Linked DNA regions of Alligator mississippiensis. The protein of the gene in region 2 interacts with the protein of the main gene of each other region in a pairwise test. Links are inferred from orthologs where the notes say so. Each region holds a gene or a part of one and is shown on either strand. Other genes may lie near its edges. The genes, in order: C6H1orf216, CDR2, ENKD1 and TBC1D22B.

The links.
Region 1: the proteins of CDR2 (region 2) and C6H1orf216 interact in binary tests that used the Homo sapiens proteins (3 or more experiments, as listed by UniProt). The two-hybrid records come from large-scale screens. The link is inferred for Alligator mississippiensis from reciprocal best matches to the Homo sapiens genes CDR2 and C1orf216.
Region 3: the proteins of CDR2 (region 2) and ENKD1 interact in binary tests that used the Homo sapiens proteins (3 or more experiments, as listed by UniProt). The two-hybrid records come from large-scale screens. The link is inferred for Alligator mississippiensis from reciprocal best matches to the Homo sapiens genes CDR2 and ENKD1.
Region 4: the proteins of CDR2 (region 2) and TBC1D22B interact in binary tests that used the Homo sapiens proteins (3 or more experiments, as listed by UniProt). The link is inferred for Alligator mississippiensis from reciprocal best matches to the Homo sapiens genes CDR2 and TBC1D22B.

The regions. Positions count from the first base shown.
Region 1 is NC_081829.1:8,811,360-8,818,749, reverse strand, and holds the start of C6H1orf216 (UPF0500 protein C1orf216 homolog), read left to right. Parts: upstream 1-4,371; 5' UTR 4,372-4,540; intron 4,541-7,390.
Region 2 is NC_081836.1:46,674,271-46,681,685, reverse strand, and holds the start of CDR2 (cerebellar degeneration-related protein 2), read left to right. Parts: upstream 1-4,413; 5' UTR 4,414-4,529; coding exon 4,530-4,608; intron 4,609-7,415. Other genes in the region: transmembrane protein 180, read right to left, coding at 647-799.
Region 3 is NC_081833.1:34,730,105-34,737,735, reverse strand, and holds the start of ENKD1 (enkurin domain-containing protein 1), read right to left. Parts: upstream 3,002-7,631; 5' UTR 2,897-3,001; intron 2,513-2,896; exon of another isoform or gene 403-2,512; intron 358-402; exon of another isoform or gene 1-357. UniProt on the Homo sapiens protein: Microtubule-binding protein which regulates microtubule organization and stability. Promotes the stability of astral microtubules and facilitates the proper orientation of the mitotic spindle.
Region 4 is NC_081837.1:35,933,299-35,940,434, forward strand, and holds the start of TBC1D22B (TBC1 domain family member 22B), read left to right. Parts: upstream 1-4,132; 5' UTR 4,133-4,229; coding exon 4,230-4,285; intron 4,286-7,136. UniProt on the Homo sapiens protein: May act as a GTPase-activating protein for Rab family protein(s).

The DNA.
Region 1 (7,390 bases), on a different chromosome or scaffold from region 2:
TGGAGACTCCACCACCTCTCTGGGTAACCTATTCCAGTGCTTCACCACCCTCCTAGTTAGAAAGTTTTTCCTAATATCCAACCTAAAACTCCCTTGCTGCACCTTGAGATCATTGCTCCTTGTTCTGTCATCTGCCACCGCTGAGAGCAGCCCAGCTCCATCCTCTTGGGAACCACCTTCAGGTAGCTGAAGGCTGCTATTTAAACCCCTCTCCGTTTTCTCTTTTCCTGACGAAATAAACCCAGTTCCTTCAGCCTCTTCTCATGAGTCATGTGCCCCAGCCCCCTACCCATTTTTGTTGCCCTCTGCTGGACTTTCTCCAATTTGTCCACATCCTTTCGGGGGGGGCAAACTGGACACAGTACTCCAGATGTGGCCTCCCCAGTGCTGAATAGAAGGGAATAGTCACTTCCCTCTATCTGTTGGCAGTGCTCTGACTAATGCAGCCCAGGATGCCGTTAGCCTTCTTCACAACAAGGGCACACTGCTGGCTCCTATTCAGCGTCTTGTCCACTGTAACCCCCAGGTCCTTTTCTGCAAAGCTGCTGCTTAGCCAGTCGGTCCAACCTGTACCGGTGCATGGGACTGTTCTGTCCTAAGGGCAGATGTCCCGGGATTGCATCACTGGACCAATGAAAGAAAAGCAGCAGTGCATTCACCCACTCACTAAACCCTGATTGGAGGGGCAACGTGTATACATGCCAGTCCTGTGACTTTTCTTTTCTGGGACAACCAAAGGCACAACTTGTCCCAGGACAAATGCAACATCTGTTTGTAGCCTGTTCGTAACACCAAGGACCCCACTTCAAGGAGTCTTTGTTGTGCCGGGCACCTTAGAAATAGAATAAAAGGCCAGCCCTAACGAGCAGTATTGCTGTGATAGGGTTGTATTGCTGTAGGATTGAGGACATTAGCCAGGGCTGGGACACTCATGGTGCTTGGTGCTGTACAGAACAAAGACACATCCCCTGCCCCAGAGAGGTAGAAGTATAAATCAATATTACAGCTGACTGCTTGGGGCCGGAGCTGAAGGGGGATAAACATAGAAAGGAGGAACACAAACCCTCCTTGTGTTCATGTGAAGCACATTTTTGTCCCCCTGTCACCTCTCCAACCCCCAAGACTCATGTTGCTTAACATGCTGACTTCATCCAAACCATTCAGAACCCCTTACATTTGCTCTTTCCCTTCATCCTGGCATTAAGCCTGACAATGCCCCTTTATGCCCAAAGTGTTTGTGGTGCTTCATGTGACCTTCTTGCTCCAGGCTTTGCATTCATCCCTGCTTGTTTGATGTGCTACTGCTTTTTATTTTAACCTTTGGAGACACCCCCAAGTCCCAGCACAGATGGATAAAAGGTCTATTGAGAAAGCTGCATCCATAGCCCCCTCCCTGCGCTCTGCAAGGAGCTGATGGACTGTGAGGTAGGTACCACGGGGGAGTCTGGGTAGCCTAAAGCTCATAGGACTGATCAGGGGGATTGGGAAGAGGTAGAAGGAGGAGCTGTTCTGTTCATGAAAAATTGTCTTCAATGTGTTGCTGGGTGAGATGCATCCTCATACACATGCCCATACACATGCACACAGGGGGTATCTGCTGGGCTACAGGCTGTGTTTGGGGTTAGACCCCCAGAGACGTTTTGCCAATACCGTCCACTCATTACCCAGTAGCAGGTGGTGGTGCAGGGACATGTCCCTCTTTTCCTTCAGGTTTAGCAGGTTTAATCACCAGGCAGGTACCCCATAGACTCATGTTGTGCCAAAAGCCAGGACACATTTTGTAGCTTTGCCTCATTGCTTCTCCACTGGAGTTTTTCTGGGACTCCGAATAAATCTGGAATATAGCAGAGAGGCCTCATCAACCTGAGGACTTTCACCTGCCCAAAAGGGTTCTGGGAAGCTTCTCTCACCAGTGCGTGGCCAGCTAAGCAGCATGATTAAAATCCCAGCCACTGCCTGTTCATCGCAAGCCCCTTACTGTGGTATTTGTAGAGAAAAGAGTGATTCTAGTACACCACCGGTCTTGATGTTACAGCAAAAGTGGTAGGTAAGAGTAGCTTGCAGATCCCATTAAACTACATTATTAGGTGGCAAATTCTCTGTCTTTGAAGTCTTCTGAAACCTTTAATTAAGCTAGAAAGATAGTTGGGTTTTCAAGGGAGTGCCCAGGGAGGCTGAGAAAGCTCTTAACCACTAGGGAGATTTAATGATGGGAGTCATACAGCCAATGGGCATCAGCATCATATCCAGATGTAGCTCTGTGGAGGGCTCTTTAATCTGGAGATGGGACAGGCTGCCCTGGGACTCAGGGTGCAGACAATGACAATTTTTGCCCCATCTGGCCCCTGAAAGTACTCTATAGCCCTGTCCTAACACAAGTGCATGGCTGCAGAACACTTTAAAAGGGCCTGATCCCGCAACAATCTGAACTCTCATTACATGAGGGTTCAGATGAAGGTGCTCCAAACAGGAGTGCCTTCATTAACTTCTGTCTGTGCATGCTGGGTGCTTTCAGAATGGGGGAGGGGGAAGAGAGAGTAGGGAGCTCATTTTGGTTGTTGCTTAGTCAGTGCTGGAGGGTAAGGCAGGTGGCTTGGATGCCCCCAAGGTTGGGGGATCCAATTCATCCATCCTCTGACTCCAGTGCAGTCTGAGGAAACCCCAGAATGCAACTCCTTCCCCTGCCTTCTCCCTCTCCCAGCCTGAGACAGCACCAGGGGCCAGGAGAGGGGTAGTGGGGCTAGGGGAAGAGGGTGCAGAGTTGCAGCTTTTCTCTCTGGATCAGCTCCAAATTGGAGCTTGACCCCCCCTCCCCACTGACCCAACACCTAACCTCTTTTGGGTCAGGAGGGTCGGTCTAACTCATGGCGCTTTCTGTGAAGCACCATGAGTTAGACCAGGAAGCGGCACTTCTGTCTGCACCTTCAGAGATTCTGCACCAGCCCAAGGGACAGGGGAGCTTCACATCCTCTTGCTGCCCTCATGTATCCAGGTCAGAGAAGCCACAGACTTCTGTTATAAAGAGGATCAGAGCCAGTCCCATTGCTGGGCTCTCTATTAAAAAGATCTTATGCCCCAGGCCCTGGAAGAAAACATGGCTGTAGTCCAGGACATTCACTGACCAGATGCTCTCTGCACAGAGCTTCATGATAAGCCATGGGCAGGGAAATCCTTGATCTTGAAATATTGCCTCAACCCATCACACCCATGGTAGAGGTGAAGGGAGAGGGGCTTCAGATGGGCCAGGTGTCCTACTTGAGAGAAGGCCTGATGCTCTAGTTCAGCTGGACCAGCACCAGCTATAGCAATTTCTAAACAAAGGTCTTGCAACTGCCCTGGTTTCCACTAAAATCTCCCCACGTGCTTTGTACTTGGAAGTTACCATCAAGTGTGCGTTCCCAGCAGCAGAGCTTGGCTGCACGGGTGTCTCAGAGCGCACTGGTACAACCAAGGCTAGGAGGTGAGAGCACCTCGCTTCCTTTCTCTACCTGCACCCCTCCGACTGCTTAGCTCCACACTCCCATCCATTCCTGGGCCCCACGAAAGACAGAGGGACTGACAGGGTCTCACACCAGAGGCAGGGTTATGACAAGCACACCAGGTGAGCAGTGAGTGAGGCTGTGGGGATGGATCAGGCTCAAGTTTTGGTCTGGTGAAAAACCAATTGGAGACATGGAACACCCCCCCCCCCCAATTGCACTGCGACTGTTCCTCTGACCCCTTGCACATGCCTGGGGGTGCGGGGGTCACATACCACTGACATGCTAGCAAGACTGCTGCCAGGAATATATGTCTGTTTATTCATTCCTTTGTATTGTGGTAATGCCAGGGAAGCAGCTATCACAGACCAGGCCTTCATCATGTGCAGCCCTGTACAAATCCAGGGGGAATCCAGGGCATAATGTATTGGGAATCTGTCCACTTACCAACCAGCCTGATCAGAGCTAAATCTTCCAGAGTGATTTGGTGGCTTTCTGATGCCTCAGATTCCCCGGGGCGACTCTAATGCAGCCTGATTTTCAGAAAATCCTAAGCCACTCTCCCGCAGAAAATCAGGTTCCTTACAGCTGCCTCTAGGCAGGCCCTCCAAAGTTGCTGCTGCTGAAGTGTGAGTCGGTGATGTGCCGGACGCTCAATGCAGGTTCCTCTGCACAGCACGAGCATCTCTTTACTTACCGAGGGCTGATCTCCTGGCTGAGTGTTGTTTCCAGGGAAGCTGATTCCATCGCTAGGGAGACAGATCATCTTTTATAGGCTCTGTTAACCCCCCCCCCCCACACACACACACATACACACACTCACTTAACAGTGCCAGGCTTGTGCTAAGGTGGCCGTAGGTGCTGCCTTGCATTTCTTGCTGCCTGCTGATCATCCTGTGACAGGGCACTCCCAGCAGCGCCGGTTGCTGTAGGAAGTATGCAGTACATGACGCTTTCCTGCTGCTGGAGTGAGGACTATTTCCGTTCTCTCCAGCTCAGCAGCAGCAACAGCAGCAGCAGCCGCCTGAGAAATCCACCTTTGCTTTCCCAAGACCTCCTTGGTAAGTGTGTGCATTACGCGGGGGGGTTGTTTGTATTTGGTATGTGGCAGGAGATAACCTGATGCCAGGGGTTGAAGTCACCTACTTCCCCACCTCGGTGCTAGGCACAGGGCAAAGAGCACAGCCCCATGGTCACATTTGGACCCCTTTGACAGGGTGTGTGTGGGGGGAGTGGGGGTTTCTACTGACTTTCCAGCACTTTGCTGTTCTGCTCACACAGATGGTACCAGGACCCCAGCCCCACCTGTGCTTGGCCTGGTGTGTGTGTGTGTGTGTGTGTGTGTGTGTGTGTGTATGTGAGAGAGAGTGTGCATGAGCACATGTGCATGTGTGCATGTGTGCACATATGCATGTGCTTGTTGGGTTTCTGATTTGCAAAGCGTTCATTGATTTATTTGTAGGGTCCCACAGCATGGACAGGGCTTTTGCTCGGTGCCATCTTAGGGATGTGTGGCTGGTAACTGTTGTACCACACATGCCCTTCCCCTCCCACCCCCTGGCCCCTGCCCCAAAACACAAAGTTTGGACGTAGGCATGATAAACCCTCCTGCCCCTTCCCCTTTGAATGCCCAGGTGCTGAGCCTGCTACAGCCACATGAGCTGGTACAGGGGACCCTGCCGTAACTGAGGATCAAGGTTAGCTCAGTGGCCACATGAGGATGTGCTGGGACAGTGATTCCAACAATCTCATAATCCTGATCGCATCTGTTTTCTCTGTCTCCTGGCAGGGATTACCGTGAGCATTAGAACCCCTTTGCCTCTGCGTTGCCTTTCCCTTGCATTTTCCTTAAACCATTTGCAGAGCTCACAAGTCTGGGGAGCTGTGTGGTTTTTCCCCCCCAAACTCTAGGCATGCGAGAGAAAGGGGAGGTCCACCCTGCCGGCACGCTGCAAGGCAGAGCTTTGTGATGTTTGTACGGGGACAGCACAACTCTCCCCTGTGGCTCTGGGCACCATCCATCACATGCTACCACCACGCTGCAGCACATCATGCTGTCTGCTGCTGCTACACACACACACACACACACACACACACACATCTCTGCTTGCCATGGAAACCTCACCATAGCAACCATACTGGAATCCAGGTTTAAAGGGACAGGGTCATGGGGTGCAGCACAGGTGAAAGTGACCCCGTTCAAGTAGCCCTGAAAACACTGGGCCTCCTCTTCCCGCTGGGACCAGTCCTACACCAGTGTAGCTCCGTTCTGTTAAGTGCAACTAATCCTGGTCTACACTGGGGGAGAGGGGAAGAGGAACAGGATCATGGTCCGTATGCTGCAGTCATCCTGCAATGAGGGTCCATCCCCTGTAGCAGGAGGCTGGGGCATACACTTGGTCCTGTTGCTGCTGCAGTGGCTTCTGCTGAGCTGCAGGCCATAGCTGAGCTGTAGCCCTCTTGTAAAGCAGGTACCTGGGGAGCTGAGCTAGGGCTTTGCCTCTGAGGGCACAGACCTCTCTTCCCTGAGGCCAGTGGGGGCACTTGCAGTTGGCTGCAGCTGGTCCTCAGTCCCAGAGAGGCCTGTCACTCACACAGGCCCACGAAGCCAGCCCGTGACACCCCACGCTTCACCCCAGCTCCACTCTCTGCTCCTCTTTCTCCCTCCTGGGATTGCTCCTGCACCAGCAGCTTCAAGGATTGGATTCTGTTTCCTTCTAGCTTTGCCCCTTCATCTTGCCTTGTGTTTCAGGCACCCTTACCTCTTGCCCTGTAGGCATTCCTTCCAACATTTAGGGATATCCAGACCTAGATCCAGACTCACCCCCTGCCTGCGTCCAGTCCAAATCCTGGCTTTCAAACACCTATAAACTCTGGGTATTTGCAGCTTGAGCCTGGAGTGACATCTCTGTGGCACTTTTCTTGCTGATTAAATAGCTTTTAGTGCATTTCCCCTCACAGCACTCCTATGCAGCACAGTAGTACTATTCCCCCCTACCCATTTCACTGGCTCACAGGGGCTAGAAGACTCACCCAAGGTCTGTGGTAGGGAAGTGGTTGACCCCACTTCTCCCAAATTGCAGCTCAGTGCCTTAAATCAATGGACTGATGCAGAGAAAACTCTCCCAATTGCTTTAGCAAACACCCGCTTTTGTGAATCCTCTACATCTGATCTGTCAGGGGAGTTGCCATCCAAGATATATTGGTTATTACCTCACTGAGGAATGGCAAAGGTAAAACAACTAATGCTGGTTTTGGGTAGCCTGCTAAAAATCGCAGTCCTGCTTAGGCAGGGCTGGCCAGGGAAACGTCCCCAAGTTACAGTCCATGCAGTAAACACTCCCCATCAACACTGGTATTATTCCCACTCAACCACTAACTTTTGCATGGAAAAAAGGGGTAGCTAAGCAGTCTGGTCTCCTGGGGAGGGAATCTTGTTCTCCTGGGTTTTCCTGCATGTGATTTCTAGCACTAAGCTTTCCTCCATCTCTATTCATAACCCTGGTAGGAATTCTAGTTTGACATTTTTTTTTCCACTGGTTCCAGTTTGTAATGAAGGAGCAGGCCTACTGGTGCTATTGGCATCCTTGAAAAGTCAGAGACCAATGGAAAGCTGCACAGATCTATTAAAATAATCCAATGGGATGTAATAGGATTTCCACTGGGGAAGGTGAACAGACATTAAAAGAAGTAACCAAAAGTGTTTCAAATTTACACAGGTTCCCTTCATACGCCTCACCAACAGGGACAAAGTTTAAACTGTTTCCCACTGTTTCCCACAGCTTTTTTCTTGCAGCCTACAGTGTTTTGCACGGCTGACTTCATGCTCCTGGCTTGGTTGGTGCAGGGAAGAGATCCTGTGTGATGATGTCTATTTAGGCCCGTTAATCCAGACCGAGCATTGCTCCTTA
Region 2 (7,415 bases):
CTCACCAAAGTGAACCTCCAGCCAAACTAACTACCCACCCCTGAGTTAGTGAAACTATTTCCCAGCTCTTCTAACAGAGGATGTTTTGATATATAAATACAGACGTTCAAAATATTGTGCTTAATTTTTCATTTTACTTGGGGGGGTGAACTAATGCTTGCCAGAAACCAATATTTATAGGTAGTTCACTGTCTAAAAATGTGGACAGGTGCCTAGTCAGATTTTCAAAAGCTTAGATGTCTACTCTCATTAAAATATAAGCATTCTGGCTGTAAGCCACAGACCAGCAAACACTTACATGCAAGTAACTCTGAGCACATAGGCAACCTTACTGAGCTCAACAAGACTCTTCAGGTAAATAAAAGTTATTCACATGAGGAAGGGTCTGAAGCATCACAATGATGATCGATTTTAAGTACATTAGTAATCCCATTTAGACTGAAAACATTATTTCAGTACCATAAAGGCTTTTTTTATTTTTTTTAAACTAAAAGCTATAAACAATGTACACTTAGTGCATCTTTAATTTATGATAAATCAAATATTTCAGTAGGGCAACAATAAATTCATAAACAAAGCAGAATTATTTCAGTGCCATATAAATGTTATACAACACTAATAAAATCAATGTTCCAACATACTGTACCTGAGCTTGATGAAAGGCAATTTCTGAAATCTTGTACTGGTTTAAGAAAAGCTTAACATAGTAGAAATTAAAGATACTATTCATCATTCCAGCACCTAATGTGGTCATGGAATATGCCAGTGCATTAGGATGAATTCCTAAAACAATCTTCATTTTCCAAATTGTGATAGTTTCTTCTTCTGCTTCTAATTTAAAAAAAAAAGTTAACAATTAGATAAGTACCATTACCTGATATTTATAAACTTGCTAACAACACAAGATGGCATATTGTAACATAGAACAACTCCATGTTGCTGGGGACAACCAAGAGAGATTTGCCCATGTCAGGGCTGCAGGCTGGGGTCCCACAAATCTGTATTCAAGGATTTCTTCATTCTCAGTCTCTTTTCTACTTCTAAATGTATTGCAAAACTTTTAAGATTATTGGACCATGAGCACAAACCTAAACAGCTACAGTAGTAATTTATCAATACCATTTCTTAATATATATGCAATGCTTAAATGCCAATAGAACATGTCTAACAAAAATAAAGGGAACTTTTATCATAAGTGGCATAACCCAGTCCTACATCTATGTTAGTGCAAATCCAGCTCCCCAAACCACAGATATTTTACAGATCACTCTTTCTTTCATTAGCTTAAAAACTGTTAAATGAAAAACAGACTAAATAAATTTAATTCATATTGATGGATTACCTTGAGGTATCAATATGTAATAAGCTGCAAATTTAGTTCAGTAATGTTTTTAAAACACATTCTTTTAAACCAATTCACGATGATCATTTTTAGTTTAACGTTAATAATAAAAAACAATGTGGAAGCAAACTTCCAGTTAACAAAATAATTAAAAGACAAAACAGAAACCATTACTTTTGACTAGGAATCTTCTTCATCTCTGTTTTCTCCCTTACTAGTCTTATATTACAAAACTAGAAATTTACATAAAGCATCCTGAAGCTAAACATTATGCTCTGTAGTCACACAGCATGTGAAACATCCCTATGGGGTTCAGCCAAGGACATGCAGAGTTCTTAGCTCAGCACTCTCTAACTTAAGCAGTGTATAGGTGGCCCCATCACACTGTGGGGGTGAGGTGGGAAGTTTCAGAAACTGGCCCCGTATGGATGCTCCGTGAAGTGCTAGTCCTGAAGCTGTGTGCTCTGTGTGTGGGTCCATTTGGCGTGTGCCACCCATTTGGGTGGGTGAATTCAAGACCCAGGGCCAGCAGCTAGATGATGGGGCTCCATGGGTCAGATCCAGCCTGCAGACCAGATTTTTGACATCCCTGATTTAGCATAACACTTAATTATTCTTTTCTAATTCAAGTTAGAAACAAAGGAACAGTTGGGATGAGGTGGAAAATGGAAAGAAGCAAGCCTCCATGGCCCTTTGAAGCTGCTTATATTATTAAATGAAAAGATGACTAAAGGTAGCAATAGTAAAAAGACACAACTTTAAATTTAAGCTTGTTACATGTTCCAAATAAATTCTGTATAATGGCTTTACATTGTTCACTGTATCTGACTTTTCACATACAAATGTGAACAGCTAGATTACTTTTCTCTTTTGAAAATCAATTGGTATTAATAGCTCATTCTAATCCACCTAACCATATGTATATCCTCATTAGCACAACTTCAGATTTCTTCCTAAGAAAGCTGTGCAATCCCTCAATATTTCATAGCACACCAATTCTCAAAAAATATATATTTTAAAGAATATTTGCTAATTTCTGATTTATCCCTTCAGTCACTAGAAATTCTGTCTGTAAATATTAATTTCCACTCACTCTTGGTAGACTAAAGCCACAGGCTGCCCTCAGCAAGATTTCCACATCCTTTTAAACTAAGGGAGGCTGCCATCAGCAAAAACTATCACTTCTCATTGTTCCCGGCATGGCTGAAGATAGGCATTTCTGGGGAAGATGATGACCTTTAGTTACCACACAAAGTCCAGGAAACCTGCATAGAGTATGAGTAGACAGCTGCCTAGCTTGTCTACAGATGGTACAGAGTAGCAGCTCTCCAGAAGCAGTAAGTTAAATGTTTCTAGCTGGACACAAAGTGGAGTGTAGCCACGTGGTATGTGGCGCTCCAGATACATCCATGGCACCACATACTATACATTCAATTGTTCTCCTCCCTGCAAGAGAGCAGCGTGGAGGTTTTTTTGGACCCCTGGATATGCACACACGGTGGCAATGGGAGCCACCTAAAGCTGGAGCTGTGCTCTGCTGCCAGCCAGGCTCTGCATGGCAGAAGTAACATGACTGCAGCCCCTGCAGGCCCCCAGTCTCCCCTACCCCGCCATGGGTAACTTGTGCCAGAGCACGCGTGACAGCTAGCAACCCCACACAGTATCCTGCTGCTAGTTGTCCCTGGGGAACCAAACATTCACACACATCTGGACATGGCCAAAATGTGTTAACGCGTCTTTATTTTATACTGGTTTTGTACAATGGTGTGAATTAGCCTGAAGTAGTTGCTGTTACAGCACCTAATCACTAGGTGGGAAGATGAGCACATCATAACCTGCGTGCATTGAGCAGTCTACCCTGGGATAATTGCAAACATACTTTACTTCCACCAGCCTGTTTTTATTCATTTTTTTTCCTGGGGTAGCTTTACACCATGTTCTAGTAAGCTGCACCGCTACAGGGGTTTCCAGTGTGCCTGCTTTTTTTTTTTTTTTTTTGCACCAGTAAGAGGCAATTTATACTTGTGCAATCATGTTGGGCATCCAAACCTTAGGGGCAGATGCTCCCCGCTCAAGGTGAAAAAAAAGTCAGCCAGGCACAAAGTTAACCTGAGCCAAAGAAATAAATACAAGCATTTGTGAGTCACTGCTGGTTTTTGTGCATACTTTTTTTTTTTTTTTTTAAAGAGCCTGGCTCATGATTTCCGGATGTTTGGATAGGCAACACTGCATGCTTTTTGCAGAGTCTTTAAAAAAAACCAACAACATACTAGGTTCTGCAATATTAGGTGGGCTGCAAACTGCATAGCAGCCTTTGCCTTCAGAAGTGAGCTCTAAAGAAGACTATCTACGGGAACCCTCTCACGTTACACTCGACTCTCATCACATCGGACCCACAGACTGCCCTGGATCCTCCTCCAGAACAGGAGAGCGACTGGGTTGCACGATCCCATCCCGGGAAATCTCCTTTGCTCCTGCACAAATCCTTCCTGCTTCCTGCAAGCGGGTGCTGCCGCCGCGCTGCCTCGCGAACAGGCCGGCAGCAGCGCGGGGTCCGCAAGAGCCGCTCGGGCCTCCTCTCAGGGACGGCCTCCCCTGGCCCCCGCACCCCAACGGGGCCAGCCCAGGCGGCTTCGCCTGGCCCTTCCGACGCCCCCTCTCCCAAAGCGGGAGGCGGCTGCGGGCCATGGGGGAGGCGAGGGGCACAGCGGGGCGGCCAGGGAAACAAAGCCCCGGGAGCTGCCTGTGTAGCGAGGGGCGTTGTCACCTCGCCTAGCCCCCGACACGCCGGAGCCCCGGACACCGCCCCGCCGCCATGGCAACCCCGCCTGCCCCCCGCCGCACTAACCGCGCGCCTCCTCCCTCAGCCTGGAGCCTGCGCAACAACCGCGGGGGCGGGGACGTCGTGCGCCCCACCCCGCAGCCTATTGGAGATGCGGAAGATCCCGGCGCGTGATTGGCCCGCGTTCCCGTCGGTCTGCGAGCCGCGGCGCACGATTGGCTGCGCGCCGCGAGGTGGGCGAGCCGGGTTTGAATTGCTCTCGGGAGGGAGGTCGGTTGCCGCTGCCACGTTGCCGCCGCTGGCGGCTCTGCCCTGCCGGCGCCGCGCTCGGCAGCGTCCGGAACCGCTCGGCAGCGTCCGGAGGCAGCTCTGAAGGGAGCGTCGGGGCCGGCGGGTCGGGGCGCGATGCTGGCCGACAGCTTGGTGGAGGAGTTCGAGCTCCGCGAGGATGAACCGTGGTACGACCAGCAGGACCTGCAGCAAGGTGAGGCCGCCCGCGCCGGCGGCACCCGCCGCTGCCCGCGCCCGAGCAGCTGCCGCCTCCCGCACCTGCGAGGGCCGCCGGGGCGGAGGAGGAGACCGGCTCTGCGCTCCCCTAGCCTGCTCGTGCCGCGCGGACCGTCCTGCCCCGCCCGCCCGCCGTCCTGGGCACGAGCACAGCACCTGCGCGCCGGGGCTTCCTTCAGAAACTTCCCTGCGGGGCATGAACTAGGATCCGCCCCGGAGAAACGCGGGGGAAAAACCACTAGAAGCTGATGCTGCGGGACCAGGGATGTGGTGTCGAGCCTTCCCTTGTCTCCAGTTCTCGGGGCGCTTGGAAGCATCCCCTCCTTACTTGGCGATTTGGCAGAATAACGTCTGTGTATTTAACAGAAGCGCGTTACTTAGTTTCTTTTCTAATATGCCATTAGGTGCCACACAGGCTGACCCACATCAACGCTGGGATGGGAGAGGTTCAACCAAGGGTTGCCAACTCTCGTGATTTTTGGCATTGCTCTTCAAGTCTATGTTCCGGGAACGTGAAAAACGTAGCTCTTTCTTTTATTCATATTTATCTGCCTATAAGAAGGAGCTGGGTTTTTTTGCATTCCCAAAGCGCAGACTTTAACAACAACGCCAACGCTCATGAGAGTAGCTTTTTAAAAGATTAATTCTTACAACTTGAAAACCCGCCCGAACCATCTAATTTCAGAGTCTACCATCTTTGACTCTTGTGCCCAAGAAGAAAACAAAGTTTTGGCTGGGGTGTTATGACCCCGCACTCGTTCCTGCCTGGGGCAGGGGTTCGGACCTGATGATCTGTTTAGGTCCCTTCCAACCCTAACAACAATGAAAATTTCACCTGGGGGGGAAATGGAGTTTAATATCTAGTCCCTTTTTATTAAGAAAAAAAGTATGGAAATGACTTTTCTGTTTGCTGGGAGATTCAAGAATGGTAAACAGCAACTTCCTACATCAGATATATGTTTTGGTGCCCTGCTGAAAAAAATTCATGCATGCTAGGAAAATGGCCACCAGCTTCAACAAAGTGTTGACTAGATCACAACCTAAAATGAAAAATAAATGCACAATTCAGAGACTCTTCTAAGACTTGTTTAGAAGTAAGGCTCGTGAACTAAATATTCACAAGGGCTAATCAGTGTATACCATATTGCTTAATAATCTCTTGTTGAAAGGAATGGGCACAACTTACTGCACAATTATCTTGGGTGGATTATTAAAACGTAGGAGCAGGACGCTGGCAACATTATCTTGATGTTTGGTTGCCCAGTTGTAATAACACCTTCAGCAAGGTTTGTACAAGTGTCATGAAGAGATGATTGCTTAGGGAGAACAGGACTTCCAAGTCTGCAGTTTCCAGACATAACAGTTAAACCTAACAAATCTAGACTGATCTGCCAAAATCTTGCTTGCATATTGTACTTTCAGGGACAAGGTGTAAAGTGACTAAACTTGTATTGGCCATTCACGACTGTTCAGGGACTATTCTCATGGTGAAAAGGGAACTTCTTAAATATCTGACCGAGATATTAACCAGCATATTGCCAAAATGTATTCAAGATCACAAAATAAAATGGAATGCAGAAAGATAAGCTTCTGTACTACACTGAAGTTTCAGATGGTCTTTCATTGTTTTTATCCTTATTCAGCTGGTTAGCTATATTCTGTTGTTTACTTGCACACTTGCTTTTATTGCACCTTGAACTCTGAAGGAACATATCAGGCTGCATAGTTTTGTCACCAGCCAAACTCTAAAACTCTGCAGGTGAGGTCAGGTTCATGAAAGCTCACACTGTTTTTCTGGTTTAGTTTGTCTATAGGGTGTAAATCTACCCTGCCTTCTGCTTGACTTCAGACTAACGTGGCAAACCTACCTCTCCAAATTCCCTTAGATGTTAACAAAAGCAGTGTCTGAATACGTCACATTAAATTAATTTAAAAAATGAACACCCTTTAATTCATGCACTAGTAGCCTAACCACCTTTGAAAGCATTGAACACTTTCAGCTCTTCTTGAAACCAAGACTTATCAGTGCCTTAATGTAATTAAAATCAGCACATTGGAAAGCAAATTCTTTCTGCAGTACTTAATGCTCTTAGTTTTAGATGAGACCAAAATTTTATTTTAAGACAAGGTTTACTTTCACATTTGAGTGATTCTGCCTATCATATAGAAACCAATTTCTTCTCTGTCAAGAATAGCAAATTTTTCACATAAGGAAAACATGAATGCTGCTTTGGAACTGCCAAAATAACAGACTACATTTAAGTCTGTAGCATGAGCATCTAAATAAAAGATGGAATCGTACTGTACTCCTTTTGTATTGCTTCATGCTCAGAGTGCTTTGTAAACACAAATATCACACTACCAATATTACACACTAACAGGAAATTACATGCACGGTTTCATTCCTTCCAGTTTTCTAAATACTTTCTTCTCAATTGGTTAGATCTCTTAAGCATATTTTAAATACTTGGTTTTGGCTCTTAAGTCATTTTACAAGTTATGTATGCAGTTGCGTGTCTTTAATAGAATCGTACTACTTGCCTGAAGCATTGAGTCTTAAGTATACCTTGGTATGCTTAGCAACATTTAAGGCAACAAAAATAGCATGAGTTATTGGACGGCTTTAATAAAGATGGCTGATGACCAGCTAAATTTAGTATGTTGTGTGGAATTAGAAAGTCTTAAGTAGGATTGTAATTTATGTAAAGGATTACAGAATCACTGAAGCTGTAGACAGCAATAGGTACTACAGAGCAAGATGTGGAAAAACATGGTTTGGTTTAG
Region 3 (7,631 bases), on a different chromosome or scaffold from region 2:
TGTACATTCCCCTTGGCCCACACTGCAGATAGGAACAGGATAGACTGACACTCTCCATGGGTCCCAAAGCAAATGAGAAGCTCCTGGTAGCCACAGAGACTGCAAACCATATTCTGTTCCCAGAGGGTCTCCTCTGCCTTGCCCTCAAACATCAGCCTTCAAGGCCTGTTTACTCTCCTGCCTCTCTGCTGACAGAGGGGCCAATTAACACCAGTTATGCTGGTGACTTGTGTGTTCAGGTCTTTTCCCTATACACTGGGCTGGCCTTCACACACAAACTGTTAGGAGCAAAGGTAGCTCATATGCTCTTTCCAAGAGGCAGAATACCCTTCAGCAATAGCCCAGAACACAAGGCAAATGGGACTTTCATCTGGGATACCAGGCAGGGACCAAGACCGATACCTGTTTAAAGAGAGGGTGAGGATGTAGGTGTGACCTTCCTAACGCTCCAAGGACAAGGGAGTTGTGTTCCTGGGCCAGAACAGGCAGGACAGCACAGCACAGGCTTGGCCACAGCATAGCAAGCAGCCTCCCTCTGCTCTGCCCCAAGGATCCTTCCCATGCAGAGATTGTGGGACCCAGCATACAGCTCTCCACTAGATCAGATGCTACAGATTCCAACATATGCTTTGTCTTCATCTGTCCACTGGCCGCATCTCAAACAGAAATGAGGGGAGGGGTTGGCTTTTTGTGGGTTCCCATTGCAGCTCCCCACTGAGGACCAAAGATAGCATTTCTCAGGGCCCTTTTATCTCACAGACAAGGAAAGGAAGGAAGCAGCCAGAGGATTCAACCTCTGGAGCATCGTTCACAGCCTAAATGACTAGCACTTGTCCCATGCAGCTCAGACAAGCTGGACATTACACAGGTGTGATTATCTCCACTCCAGACATTCAGGGTGCAAGAAACGTACATCTACTGAAGTCCTGAAAGGCTAAAACCCTGCCACTGGAGAGATCAGCCAGATGCCCTACACCAGGGTCATCAAACACGGCCCATGGGCCGGATCTGGCCCATGGAGCCACAAAAGATTCAGCCTGCGAGTCTCCAATTAACCCTGCATGCAGCACATGGAGCCAGTCCAGTGTGAGGGGTAGATCCAACACTGCAGGCACTGTTTGCAGCACAGGGGGTCAGTTCAGGGCATGAGTTGTATAAGGTATCCTTGCTGGGCCAACCCTGTGCACTAGCTTTGGGACCAGTCTGGATCAGGTTGTGCTGGAGCCAGCAGGACAGGCTATTCAGCAGGGTACCACATGCAGCTCAAGCCCTGTGCTAGCCCCCAGTGCAAGAAGCAGCACCCATGGCACTGGGTCTAGCCCATACACCATATGCCAGCCCCACTCCAAAGACTGTGTTACCTCTGGTGAGCCAGATAGACAGCACCAGAGGTACTGCTTGCCACACAGAGCTGGTATGGGGCATGTACTGCACACAGCCCTGCACACAGATAGCCTGGAGCCCAATCCTGATTAGCCTCAGAGCCAGAGTTCAGGGCCAGTCCACTGGGATGCAGCTTTATACCGTGAGCCAGTCCCCAAGGCAACAGGCAGCACCCACAGTGCCTGATCCAGCCCATGTACAGCCTCCAGCAGCATAACCCCTGGAGCAAGACTAACTGACACTAACTACAATACAAGGGCTGCTCCAGCACAAGGAATGTGCTGCATGTGACACCCCACCAGACCAGTCCTGCCCACTGGCCCCATACTGCTAGATCTAGCACATAGACCAGCCCAGGCCCAACTGGGCAGGTTAAGTGTAATTAGGTTGCAATCTGTCCCTGAGACTGAACTCTTAGCCAAGTACCAGCACTGCCACAATGCCCCTGAGGTGTTCCAGCAAACTGCATTAGAAACATTTAGTTGCTTCAGCTAACCTCTGAGGCTTCCTCTACAAGGCTCAGAGTTCATGAACACCCCAACAGGCCCACAGCTGCACTGGCCAGCTAAAACCAGGAGGAACCAGCTATACATTTTCACGTGACCATTTGATGCAAGTGAAAACCGAGCAAACGTTCATACTTGCCCTCTCCCAGCACCGGGCGCTAATGGATTCCTAAGGTACAACTGCTCACTGGTACAGGATCTCTACCCACCAGTATCCACCACCTTTCCAAAACACCCAGAAGCTGGGGATCTAACCACTCCTGCCCATAAAGATCCTATTTCATCCTCTGAAGGTCAGATGCTAGCCCCAGCTCTAGTCACAGTCTCTGCTGTTCCAGGCTCTCTGCCGGGCTGTGCCCTGTGCAATTTCACTTCCTGCCCTCAACTGGTGCTGTCAAATAGCTGCCCTAAACTGCCCCATTTCAGCATTATACTCCCTGCTGCTGTCTGTGCAGTGCTTTGAGGTGCTGGCAGAGGACAGATGCTGTAAAAACCGAAGCTGTCTCCACTCTGTTGTGCTGCTCCCCTGGCTGCAGCACCTACAGGAGTCACGGCACGCTTCTGAATGCCAGGAGGGAGCCAGGGAGAGGCAGCCGCAAGCGCAGCCAGGGCGGCTCCCCCGGCCTTTCTCCTTTAATTACTGTATAACACGCTGCTCAACTCAGCCTCCGCTCCCGCCGCCTTTGCCGCCGCCCGCCCCGCCCCGCCCCGCCCCACCGGGGAGGCCGCTGAAGCCGGCTGGTTCCGCCCACCCCGTCCCGCTGCCCCAAAGCAGTCGGTGCTCAGCGCCCCCGACCCCCGCCCCTGGGCCCCGCCGGCGGAGCCGAGGGGCGCGGGGAGCACGGCCCGGCCCGGCCCGGCCCACCGAGGACGGGGCCTGACGCAACCCCAACAGGCGGGCGGGCCTGGCCTGGCCTGGCCTAGCCTGACGCGACCCCCCGGCTCGCCGCCGCCGCCGCCACCCCCACAGCAGGACGCGCCCGGGGCCGGGAGAGCCGCGCACGCACCTGCCGAGAGCGGGCGGACAAGGCGGAGCAGCCCCACGCAGCCCTCACCAGGCAACCGGCCCTTCCGGCGCCGCGGGGGCTGCTGGGAGATGGAGTCCGGCCGGGCTCCACCGCCGCGCATGCGCAGCTAGGCCCGTGGGGGGCTCGACCCCAGCTCGCGGCCCCTACAGTTCCCCCCGCCCCGCCCGGGGGCCTGGCGGCGCGGCGCGGTGCGGCGCGGCTCTGTTCAGGCAGCGCCGAGGGGTCGAGCGGCCTCAGGGCCTTTATCAGCTCCTCGGGTCCTGCTGATATCTCCCTTCCGCACGTGTTAGTTAGTGCCCCCCTCTCTCCTCTTCAAAGGTCTCGAGGTTCTTCTGTTGAAATGCTTCTTTCTCCTGTGCCGCGATGGCAGCCCGTCCCACCTGTCCCAGCTTTGCAGCCTCTGCTTGGGCTTTAGCTCTGGCCACAAAGCAGAAGTGGGGCATAGACACGACTGCCCCGACCTACCGAGACACTGTTGTCGAGAGGCCCAAGGTGCTAGCTTTTAACAACTCTTGAGTAAATGAGACGTACAGTCAGTGTGACAACAACCAAACTAACAGCGCAGCATCTTTGCCCTCATGTCTAGTTTGTTGTCTTTTTATTAACATAATACATAACCGAGCAAACTAATGGACATTCCAATAGTGATATTTGTTCTTGCTTCCGTTTTAAACTGAATACTACAGTGCCAACCCACGGCACTAGCTTCTTGTTAACCAGAGAAAAATGTGTGCTGTATTGCACATGACAATGAGCCATGCCACCTTTTCAAAATCCCAGATCCATCTGTGGCCACCTGCACCGTGGCAGCTGGCACTGCCAGCCTGCTACACAGCTGCTTACTGAGACCCCTTCTGAACCCATAAAGGAAGCAAGGTGCCAGGGTGATCAAAGGGATGTGTATGTGTAGCCTACTTTTCCTTGCTTTACACCAGAAAGGAGTGACCTGGTTGAGGATATGTGGCATTGCAGCAGGGGAGGGAAGGCACCTGCTCCTTGAACATGGTATTGTCCTTAGGGTGGAAAGGAACCAAATCAGGACAAAAGTCTTATTTCAGGGAAAGTAAAAACTGCTACCATAACATACAGTAGCCAGAACTACCTGCGACTGTTAACACTGAGTGCTGGGCAGCAGATAAACAACCTAACAATCTTTAGGGTGCCAATGACTTTGTGCATAAGAGTACTTTAGAGGGGGGTACTAGTCTTACCCTCCGTGGAGGAAATGCCACCTAAAAGTTGTGGAACTGAAGTCCAATCCATTATAGGGTAGACTGGGCTCTTTAATTCTGATCAGCAGCCAGTCTAGGAGTGAAGCCCCAATAGATGGACAAAATGAGTAGCTATGATGCGGATTTTTTCACAGTAAGGTGGGTGAAAAACTGGCTTATGGGACGCACCCAGAGAGTGGTGGTGGATAAGGCGGTTTCTCTCTGGAGAGATGTGAGCAGTGGTGTTCCCCAAGGCTCTGTCCTTGGACCAGTGCTGTTCAATATCTTCATCAGTGATTCGGATGAGGAGATTGAAAGCATTCTGTCCAAATTTGCAGACAACACCAAACTACGGGGCTTAGTAAATACACTGGAGGGCAGGGAGCGAATCCAGGCAGATTTGGATAGACTGGGGAAGTGGGCACATCAGAATAGGATGCAGTTTAACAAGGATAAGTGCAAGGTGCTACATCTGGGGAGCGAGAATCTCCAATACACCTATAGACTGGGGGATACCATTCTGAGTACCACGACAGTGGAAAGGGATCTTGGAGTCTTGGTTGATGCAAAAATGAACATGAGTTGCCAGTGTGATGAGGTAATAAGTAAGGCTAACCACACTCTTGCATTATCAGGTGCATCACGAGCAGGTCTAGGGAGGTGATGCTTCCTCTCCATGCGGCATTGGTCAGGCCACAGCTGGAGTACTGCATCCAGTTTCGGGTGCCGCACTTCAGGAAGGATGTGGATAACTTTGAGAGGATTCAGAGAAGGGCAGCTCGCATGGTTGAGGGCCTGTGTGTAAGATCCTATGAAGACAGACTGAGGGACCTGAACCTCTTCAGCCTCCGAAAGAGAAGGCTGAGAGGTGATCTCGTGGCTGTCTACAAACTCATCATGGCGGGTCAGCAGGGAATAGGGGATACTTTGTTTACCAGGGTACCCCTCGGGGTTACTAGAAATAATGGCCACAAACTAAAGGAGAGTAGATTTGGATTGGATATCAGGAAGAAATTATTTACGGTGAGGGTTACCAAAATACGGAATGGGCTTCCAAGGGAGGTGGTGCTGTCCCCTACCTTGGAGGTGTCCAAGAAAAGACTGGACAAGCACCTAGCTGGGGTTCTTTGACCCCAGCGCTCTTTCCTGCCTAAAGCAGGGGGTTGGACTCGACGATCTACAAGGTCCCTTCCAACCCTAGAAATCTATGAAAACCCACTCTCTGGATGTTCTCCTTTGCTCCTTTGGATTAAACCAGCAAGGCTGAGAGGGGGACACTGGTGTGCAGACAGCTCAGTGTCTCCATAATCACTGCCCAAGCTTTTGCACCCTGGAGGGGTCACTCCAGTTTTACTTTATTTTCAAGTGAGGATTACCTTCAGCAAGCTGATGTTCCACTCGGCATAATTCTATTGCTTTGCAAGATAGATGCCTACTAAAAACAGACACTGCATTTGAGTTGCATTCTGATTGACCAGTGTCAAAAACTGGGAGTGGTATAGCCCTTTACACTTGCAGTCTGGTAACTAAAATTCACTAAATCATGCTGGGGAAAAATATTCTCAGGCTTGTCCCTTGGATGAGCCAGGATTGTTCTGGGGAAAAGTTATCTCAGATACTTCACAGTTACTTAAAGTTGAATAATGGGCTTGTAATTCTGTAGGATCTGAGGATCTCAAAAAGGCTTTGTCCTTGAAGAAATCTGATTTCTGTGGGGAAAAACAGGTGTCATGTTTATCCCAGGAGAAATCTTTTTATTCTACAGGTGTACAAGCCCATGGTCCCACTTCTAAGTACCTGCAGTGTATCTGAAATAACATTTTTTTGCCTGAGCAGTCATGGCTAATTCAAGTTAATTGTCATCAGCTGCAAGCCTGGGATAATCAGAAACAGGATAAATCAGTTTTTACCTGAAGTCATCAGGGATGCTAAGGCACAGCCCCAAAATTTGGAAGTCTTCTGCCACATTCAGGATGGTTGGTTGCATTGAGACTGTCAAAAACATTGTAACAGGAGAAATATCCCCCCTCCTCCAGCCTCCTGTTCCTCTGGTCTTTGCAGGGTCTTTTGTTTATGAGTAAGTCCTGCCGACACATTTTAAGGCCTCTGTCACATATTTATGGCTTGATAGCTCTGAGGCTAACTATATGCTCAGGATACAACCACAGGAGAAAAACTGCAACCTTTACTGAAGAACATTTAAATGGATACAGAGGATGAACAGATTTTGATTTTTGCCTGCAAGGGGACTCCAATCAGGCAGGGTTAGAGGCCCTGAAATCCCATTCCCAGTTAAACTGCAGTAGCTCAGGAGGTATCAGCTCTCCAGCCACAGCAAATTATAGCAGGAAACAAAAGGCAAGAGGCTCATTTGCAGCAAGTCCAGATTGTGTGACTGGAACTTGAGTGATTCTTGATGTTCACAACAGGCTGTGACTGTTCTGCAACCAGCTTCCTATGAGATCCCATGTGATTAACTCACAGCACGTGCCAATATCTCTGGCTTTTCAGGATCAAATGCTCTGATACTAGCTTCTATTTTCCCCTGGGAGGTTATTTGCAGAGGAATTAATGACACTTGGGCCCACAAATCAGGCCTTAATTGTTGATGCAGTCTTAGCTGCCCTGCAATTCTGGTGGCATTTTTGTGCTTAAGATCATTTGTACACACACAACTACAGGTGTAAAAACTGAGACAGCACAGCAACAACAACACCGATACCAGATGGAAAATGCCATCCCCCTAAAATGTTTTAATTGGTTTGTGACAGCAGAAAGCATCTCCCAGGAATGCTTCATTAATGGCCCCTGCATGGGAGAGAGCCTCTTGCCATCCCTGGAGGCTCAGCGATAGCTCCTTCATAGCTTGTGGACCCTTCCTATTCACTCACCCCTCACTGGTATCTGAGGACCTTTGCTACCTTCAAAGAGCTACAGTTACCCACATGCCCTAGCTGGGACTTCTGACTGGCTGAGCGGCCTTGGGAAACACCTTGCTGGGGCATACAAGATTGTAACTAGCCAGTGGGGGGGGTCAATGCCGATGAGAAGGGCTGGGGGGAGGGGGTCACTGGTGGTATGAGGAGTCCAATGTTATCTAATAAAATGGAAAAAAATATGTAACTACCTGGTGACCCCTGCAATAATAATAATCAACCTAGCAGCTCTATCCTCCACTTGTGCTGATCCATCATGGGCTTGTACCACCCATTTGAGCTGGGCAAGGGCTGAGAGAAAAACCACAATACAAAGAGAGAGGCTATTGTGGCAGCATGGGGCTCTGTCCAGTTCTGTTGGCAATGGCGAGGGAGGGGCGGGCGCGGGGGTTAGGAACCGCCTTGCTTCATAAGCTCCTGAGCCTTAACCCTTGAATGCCAGATGCTGCAATAGATGAGGGCAAATCTCTGAGGGCAACTTGTAAACAGCACCTGCTGCTGTTCCTGCTGCTACTTTAAATCTGTCATCAGATGCCATCAGGAAATCCTGGATCAGCTTGAGCTGAG
Region 4 (7,136 bases), on a different chromosome or scaffold from region 2:
AATAGTCTGGGAAGGTGTCTGCCCCTCTGGGAGCAAAGAGCCAGGCCAGCATCCATCTCACTGAGGCAGAGCCTCTAGCTTGCTCCTTTCCTCCTGGCCCCATATACCTCCCACTCTCAACTGTTCAGGGGGCCAGCTTCAAAGGGAGCACTGGAGAAAGACCTAGTTAATGCCTGATGTGCAGCATGGTGATTGGAGCCCTGTGCTAGAAACTGGAGAGAGGCAGCTCCAAGCCCCTCCTGAGTGAGGTGGGGTCTCTTACTTCCTGGGCAAGTGGCCTAACTACTTGTCTCCTGGGGCCCTCCTGCACCCACTAGTCATGGGCTTTTGCCAGGTAGAATGTCATGATTTCTGCTTACCCAGCATACACGTGTATGTACCGATCTAATTGCATCCCTGCCTAGACAATCAGTGTGTAGCCTACTGTGTATGGTCAGTAACATGTGTGTGTCCCCAGTGTATGAAAAGCAGGATCACAAAGTATGCATCAATGCCAAAAATGGCAGCTACATGGCTGGAAAACTGTAAGGTGAAACAGGATTCTGCCCTAAACCCACAGATTTTCAAATACAAGTGCTTCAGACCTGGAATCCAAACCCACCCTTAAGCCCTGATCTTTTACATTCTGCAAGAGGGTTCTGTGCGTGATTTCAGAAAAGCAGATTACTCACAGATCTCACCAGAACCATAGGAGCTGCGGCTTTCAGTGCCTCTCAGAAATCAGCTTGACCACTTAGGTGCCTACATACCATTTGGATGCTTAATGCTCAACACACCAGACTCCAGAAACATATGTGCTTAACTTTATGCACTGTAAATTGACTCTGCGACTTTGGTGGGAGCACTCAGACTGAATGGAGTCATTTTGTAAGGTAAGCACCTTAGTTTGAAAATGATAGCCCTGTTCACTACCAAATTTAATCAGGTTTAATATTAATATTAAATTAATAGCATCCCATTCTCTCAGTCATTATTAAGCTCTGATAGTCTTCTATTATTGTCATTATGGTAAGAGTCACCAGATGGCACTGTTATACACATAGTCTCATGTCATGAGTTCCTTTTACTGGTGTGTAAGCAGTGCAGTCTTGGGAAAAATGTTCTGTTGTTAGATTTGTAGTGATATTTCTTTTTGGTGGTGCTGTTGCTAACAGTAGTAGAATTTGCACTTACTCTTCCTAGAGTCGATGTTTATGCCAGCGTTGTCTTCAGGGAAGTGGGTTTTGATTTTCTTGTTCAGATTCCTGAAGCAGTGGATTAGCTTGCATGGCGTTTGGTCATCTTTGTACAGGGACAGTCATACATAGACACCTGTTGGAAAGTATTTGTTGAAAGAAACTTTAGTGGGACATTGCTCTTTTTCAAAAAGAAAAAAGGTAGAGATCTCCAAGTGTCAGACACATTTCATTGAAACCATTTTTTAAAATAAGTTTGCTTTTTCTTTTTTTCCACAAAAACCAAACTATTCAGAGGAAATTTCAGTGAGAAAGAAAAAAAACACAACATTTTTTAAAACATCTCCAAAAACTATTGATATATTAGACTAGCTCCAGTGCAGAGCGTAAACCAAAAAACATCCCTGAATCTGCATCACTGATTTCTTTTTCACAGTGAAACCAAACTGTAAGGCCCTGCTTTGTTACCATTTCACAGAGAGCCAATGCTATTCAGAAACATTTCTATTATGACTTAAAAGCCTCACCTGAGATCAGGACTTAGTGATGCCAGGGGCTGTACAAAGAGCAAGAAACACTCCCTACCGCAAAGAGTTTGTATTAAAACTAAATAAGACAAAAGGTTATAAAGAAAACCAAAGCAGAGATGGGTGAAGCAACGTTTTTTACCAGGGAAACTGGCAGAACCAGGAATATCACCCACATGGGTGGATCTAAAATTTTTAAAAGGGGAGTGCAGATGGTGCAGTGCATCATCACATCTAACCCAACAACATATTTTTTTCCAGTTAAAGAGAAACTAGAAGCTTTATTAATATGACAGGGGCTAACACTATATTATTTGGTTTAAGACCAAGCAAAAAACAAATACAGCTCTTGGAATGTGCATTAATTTGCTAGAGTATATATAAAGTTTAAAACTCCAAGGGCTATCAGATCCCAGTATAAAGATTCATGTCTATCCAGAATTGGAGGAAAAGTTCCCAGCAAAGCATCTTGATGCCCATGTTGCTGGGGTCATCTGACCCCAGTGGCTTTTCCTGCCCAAGTGCAGGGGGCTGGACCCGATGATCTGTAAGGTCCCTTCCAGCCCCTACCATCTATGACACTAGGCAAAAAAATAGTCACAGGATACTGTATTGTCAGTCCTGTAGTCATTACAGTTAAATGCGTGTCTTTTATTCAGATACATTACAAAAAATAAAAATCTAGCCTTCTTGAGCGCCTTGACAATGCCTCCAATACTTCACTGTCATTCGTTTTTCTACCTCCGTGTCCATATTACCTCACCTGAGTTCAGGTTTTTAGCTAGAGCTGAAAACAGGCTGCGGGGCTGTAAAATAGGAGAGACATTACCACAGATCCTGGTTTCCTCTGATTTAAGATAATCCCCAATTTTCAGTTAAAGAAAGTAACCCCACATGCCCATTTTTCCGTGAGTTTAACAAAACACCATCTATATAGAGATATAGATATATATAGAGAGAGAGAGAGGTGTGTGCACATATATATGTGTATATGTATATATATGTGTGTGTATATATATATAGATGTGTGTGCATGTATGTGTGTGTGTGTAATGGTGTTTTGTTTTAATCATAGAAAAATGTGGATTTGGGAGTTACTGTTTTTTAACCGAAAATTGGGGATTTTTTAACTCAGAGAAGCCCAGGGTCCCTGGACATTGCCAGGAAGTTAGGCAGCTCGCAAAGGGAAGACGTTCTTCCTCAGGTGTGAAGACCGGAAGCGGGGCGCAGCTGCCCAGCTTGCTGAGGAACCACGTCTGCCATTCGGACGCTCGTCCAGCTTTCTCCCAGCGACGTAGCTGGTGCAGTAACAGAGAAGGCCCTAAGAAATCCTTGCCCCCCGTGTCGTTTCGGGCCCACCAGGGCTACAACGTCTCTATTTCACTCCCATTACCCGGACGGGATAACAGACAGCAAAAGCGCAGAGGAACGGGTAGCTGTGTTGGTGGGACGTCAGGACCATTGAAAGGGACGGAGGTTGTTCACCCCGGCGGAGTGGAGAGATTAACAGGAACCGGGAGAGGACAGAGTCAAGGGGCTCTCTCAGCCCCTCTCAACAGAAACGCGGCGGTGGCTCCTGCCGGGCGCTTGGTTTTAAACATTTGGGTGGAGCAGAAATCAAAGGGGGGCCACGCAGCTCCCGATCACCCGCACAGGCTCCTGCGGCAGCTTCCCCGGCGGGCTGCGCAGGGCCCGGCTGCTCTGGGGGGGCCGTTAGAAAGCTTAGGACAAGGCCCCACGTGCAGCGAGGCTCACGTGGCGAGTTCACGGGCCAGCGCAGTGGACGTGCAGGGATCCGAGCGCCCCGCGGACCCACCCCACTGCGTCCGCCTGGGCCTCTGCCCCTCCAGGCTGGAGCTGAAGGGGTTAACTGCAGAGAGCCCCCTCTTACCCACCCAGAAATAACAGCCCCTTCCCCTCAGGGGAAATGGTTTAACCCACTCCATCTCAAACAGCATTCCACCCCTCTTCCTCGGGGCGAGTGGTTGGACCCATCCTGTCTCCCCCCCCCCCCCCCGGCAGGTTATTTAACCGCAGCTCATTCCTCTCCGGCGCAGGTGGTTTAATCCGCTTTCCCCCTGCACTTGGTTTAAACTGTGCCCGCCCCTTCTTCCCAGGACAGATGGTTTGCCCCTTTCCCAGCTTGGTTTAAACTCCTCCTCTAGCAAGTTGGTTCCTTCCAGACCACTTCAAGGATGGTTCGCCCCACACGCACCCCGCCCCGTCCTCCTCTGTGAGAATGGCTTCGTCCTTCCCTTCCCGCAGATGGTCTCTCCCGCCTGAAGCGAGAGGCTCCGCCCTTTCTCCCGTGCCCTCGCTTCACGTCCCCGCAGCATCACAGCTCCGCATTGGCTCGGCGGGAGGCGCCCGAGCCGCGCAGCCAATGGCCGCGCTCTGCCTTCCCGCACCCAAGATGGCGGCGCCGGGGTCGGGTCGCGGGGGCCCCGGAGGGAGGCGGTGAAGCGGCCTCGGCCCGCGGCTCCGGGACCCGCCGCCGCGCCGCTCCCGCCCGGGGCCCGGCCGCGCCATGGCCGCCGACAGCAGCAAGCAGTTCTGGAAGCGGAGCGCCAAGCTGCCGGGCAGGTGAGGCCTGAGTTGCCCCCGGGCCGGGCCGGGCTTCGAGGCCCCGAGGCGCTCCCTCCTCCCCGCCCGCGGCCTTCCCGGGCCCTCGTGTGGCCCTGTGTGCCTCCCCCGCAGCCTCCAGCACCGCAGGCCTGGGCGCTCCCAGTCAGGCCCGCAGCCCCTTGGCTCCAGCACCGGGCCCGGGCCGCGGTTTCCACGGGGGTGACAGAGAGCGGCCTCGCGCTCGTCGCTCCGTGCGCCCACGACGCTGCCCTGCCGAGCGCTTCTCCTCCCTTTCCGACTTGGTGTCGAGAGATCCGCCGGCCGGGGCCAGGCGAGCCCGAGCCCCGCGCTGCAACTTCCCGAGGGTGGAGGTTTGGGAGAAGTTGCTGGTGGCACACCGCCAGCCTGTCATGTCTGTTGCAGAAGATAGGGGTAGCTCTGTCTCTCGCGTCTTCTGTGCAGTGATCCTTTCCCGGCCCTGCAGCATGGTCCGGGCACGATCTCCAAAAAGGAGCTCGCGCAGAGAAAGGGAAGTTTCTTTTACAATCTGCTCGCTTTTGGGATCTTCCCTTGCGCGTTCACTACCTCCGCCTCCATCTTCCTGAGAGGGAAGAGACGAGCCTTGAAGCTTTCTGTAGGCGCCGGGTGCTCGTGGCGGGGTAGTTCGTCGGGACCGTACCCTTTCAGAGGCATCCTTATTCCCGTCTTAGACGCGCGGGAGGGGACAAAGGTGTGGAAGGGAAGCGAGTTGCCCGCTGTCACCTGCCCGATGCAGTCGAGCCACTCATTGCTTTTTCCTGTTACTAACAACACTTCCAGCTGGGGCTGTGGGGAGTCTGAGCCCGGCCATGTCTTGCTGAATAGGAGGAACCTGGTTAGTTTCCCTCGTGTCCTGCCCAGTGGTTTATCGAGTCCTGCTCTAGGGAGAGAGGCTCAGCAGGACACCACATTGCTTGCCCTCCATGCGTAGGGCCTTACTATTAATAATAAAAGTGGGTTATGCTGCTCTGTGGGAGTAGCAGCGGCTTGCTTTTTGAAATGTCGTTGGCAGGCTTCTAGGATTTACTTTCTGCTGCTGCATTGACACTAAACAATTCATCTCTTTATATGCAGTAGAGCGGATGGACCGCAGCAGAGAGCTGCTTTGTGTTGAATTGAAAGAGACCCTGCCTCAAAGAGTTTTTGTATCTAAATTTCAGTAGGTGAAGGTGGAAGGAGGGAAGAGACAGATGGACAGTGACTGCTCCAAGGTCACCCAATAGGTCATTGCCGGAGTTGGAGCAAAGCCTAGGTGTCTGCTTCTGGTCCAGTGCTCTCCTCACTGATCCAGTGTCGTCCGCCAGTGGAGGAGAACGACCAGGTGAAGCTGACTCAATCCAGAAAGAGGACTTGCGCAGACTAGTTTCACTAGCCAAACTGAGCTCCATTTAAGAAATCAATAGTGTCAGAGGTGCTGAGAGATCAAGATTAGTGTATTCTATAATAAATGTGGGGGATTTTTAATGATAGTCACCCCCAGAGCCACTTGTCCTCTTTCTGCCTTGGTTTGCCCACTTGCAGTAGTGAGGATGGGCTAGCCCAGGTTTGCATGCTGCTTTCGGATCCTCTGTTGAAAAACTTAATATCAGGCTTCTTCGCCTGATCAGGCAGTGGGGATGAAGTTTTACTCTCAGACCCTCCTGTGTAAGCTGCTCAGCTCTTTCACAGTCTTGTTCAAGCTTTTGCTCTTCATGGTTTCTGATGTCTAAGCCAGCCAGCAAGAGCTAAGTCAGCCACATAAATGACTCATAAAGCTGTTTTTTACAGTTTTTTCTAATCATATCCACCCCTGGTAGCTCTAACCACTACCAAGTAGGAAACAGTCACCTACACTTCCTTCAAAAAAAAAAAAAAAAAGTTTGCAGTAGGGCTGTAAGCAGTCAGGTTGTGTTGTTAGAAGCCTGCAGAGTTTTCAGCCACATCAACTTGTGCTTATCAGTATGTTCATGACTTCCTGGGTAGAGGAGAAGCACAAAGAAATGGAGCGTTTGCTGGCAAGTGGAAGCTTGTGCGATCTCCAATGTATCCTTAGAAGTTGCCCCACTGTAGTTTCCTCCCTGTGAGCATTGCTGGTTCTCTTTTGCTTTGTTCTGTCCTTCAGCCTGTCTTTAGAAGGACAGCCAGGGCAGGGGGTTATCCAGTGAAGTCAGTGGCAGAACATGCCTGCACGCACGAGTTGTATGGCACCCTCTGAAACTCACTGTTGCAAGGAGCCTGCATCCAGTTCAGGAGCTGCCTGTTCAGAGAGGCTAAGAAATAGCAGGCCAACACTAGAGGCTTTTTGAGTGGAGTAAGATGATATGGGCTATATTGCCAGAGGTGCCTTGGGTGGGGATGATGCTGCCATAGTAGAGCGCACAGCTTTGGGCTCTTTTAAAGGACAAACATTGGAAATCTGAGCCTTTTCCAATATCTTGTGTTAGGCCAGTCTGTTTTGGATGTTCAGGCCTGCCTTTCTGAGCATCTCTCACTGCCCAAGGGCACCAGAAAGGGGCTTCTTGCTCCAAGGTTTAATCTTAAGAGCACTGGGTACTTAACAGATCTAGAGGTAGGATGCCTGAGTTGGGGATTAATGGTCTGTTCCCCAAAGGACTCTAGCATTTATTCCATTCTAGCAGCCTCCCATTAGGAGCAGAGGAATCTTCCGTCCTGTGAATCCAATTGTTGTGTAGAGGAGCGGGCTTATAAGACCATACAAACCCCACTTGGGCTTTGAGAGCAGCTCAACTGCCTCCCCCAGGCAGCTCTAGCAAAAGCTGCCCTGGGCTGTTTGCAATCTGTAGCACTGATCTTGTTTTACTCTCGATAATCAACTTGTGATCAGTGCCCA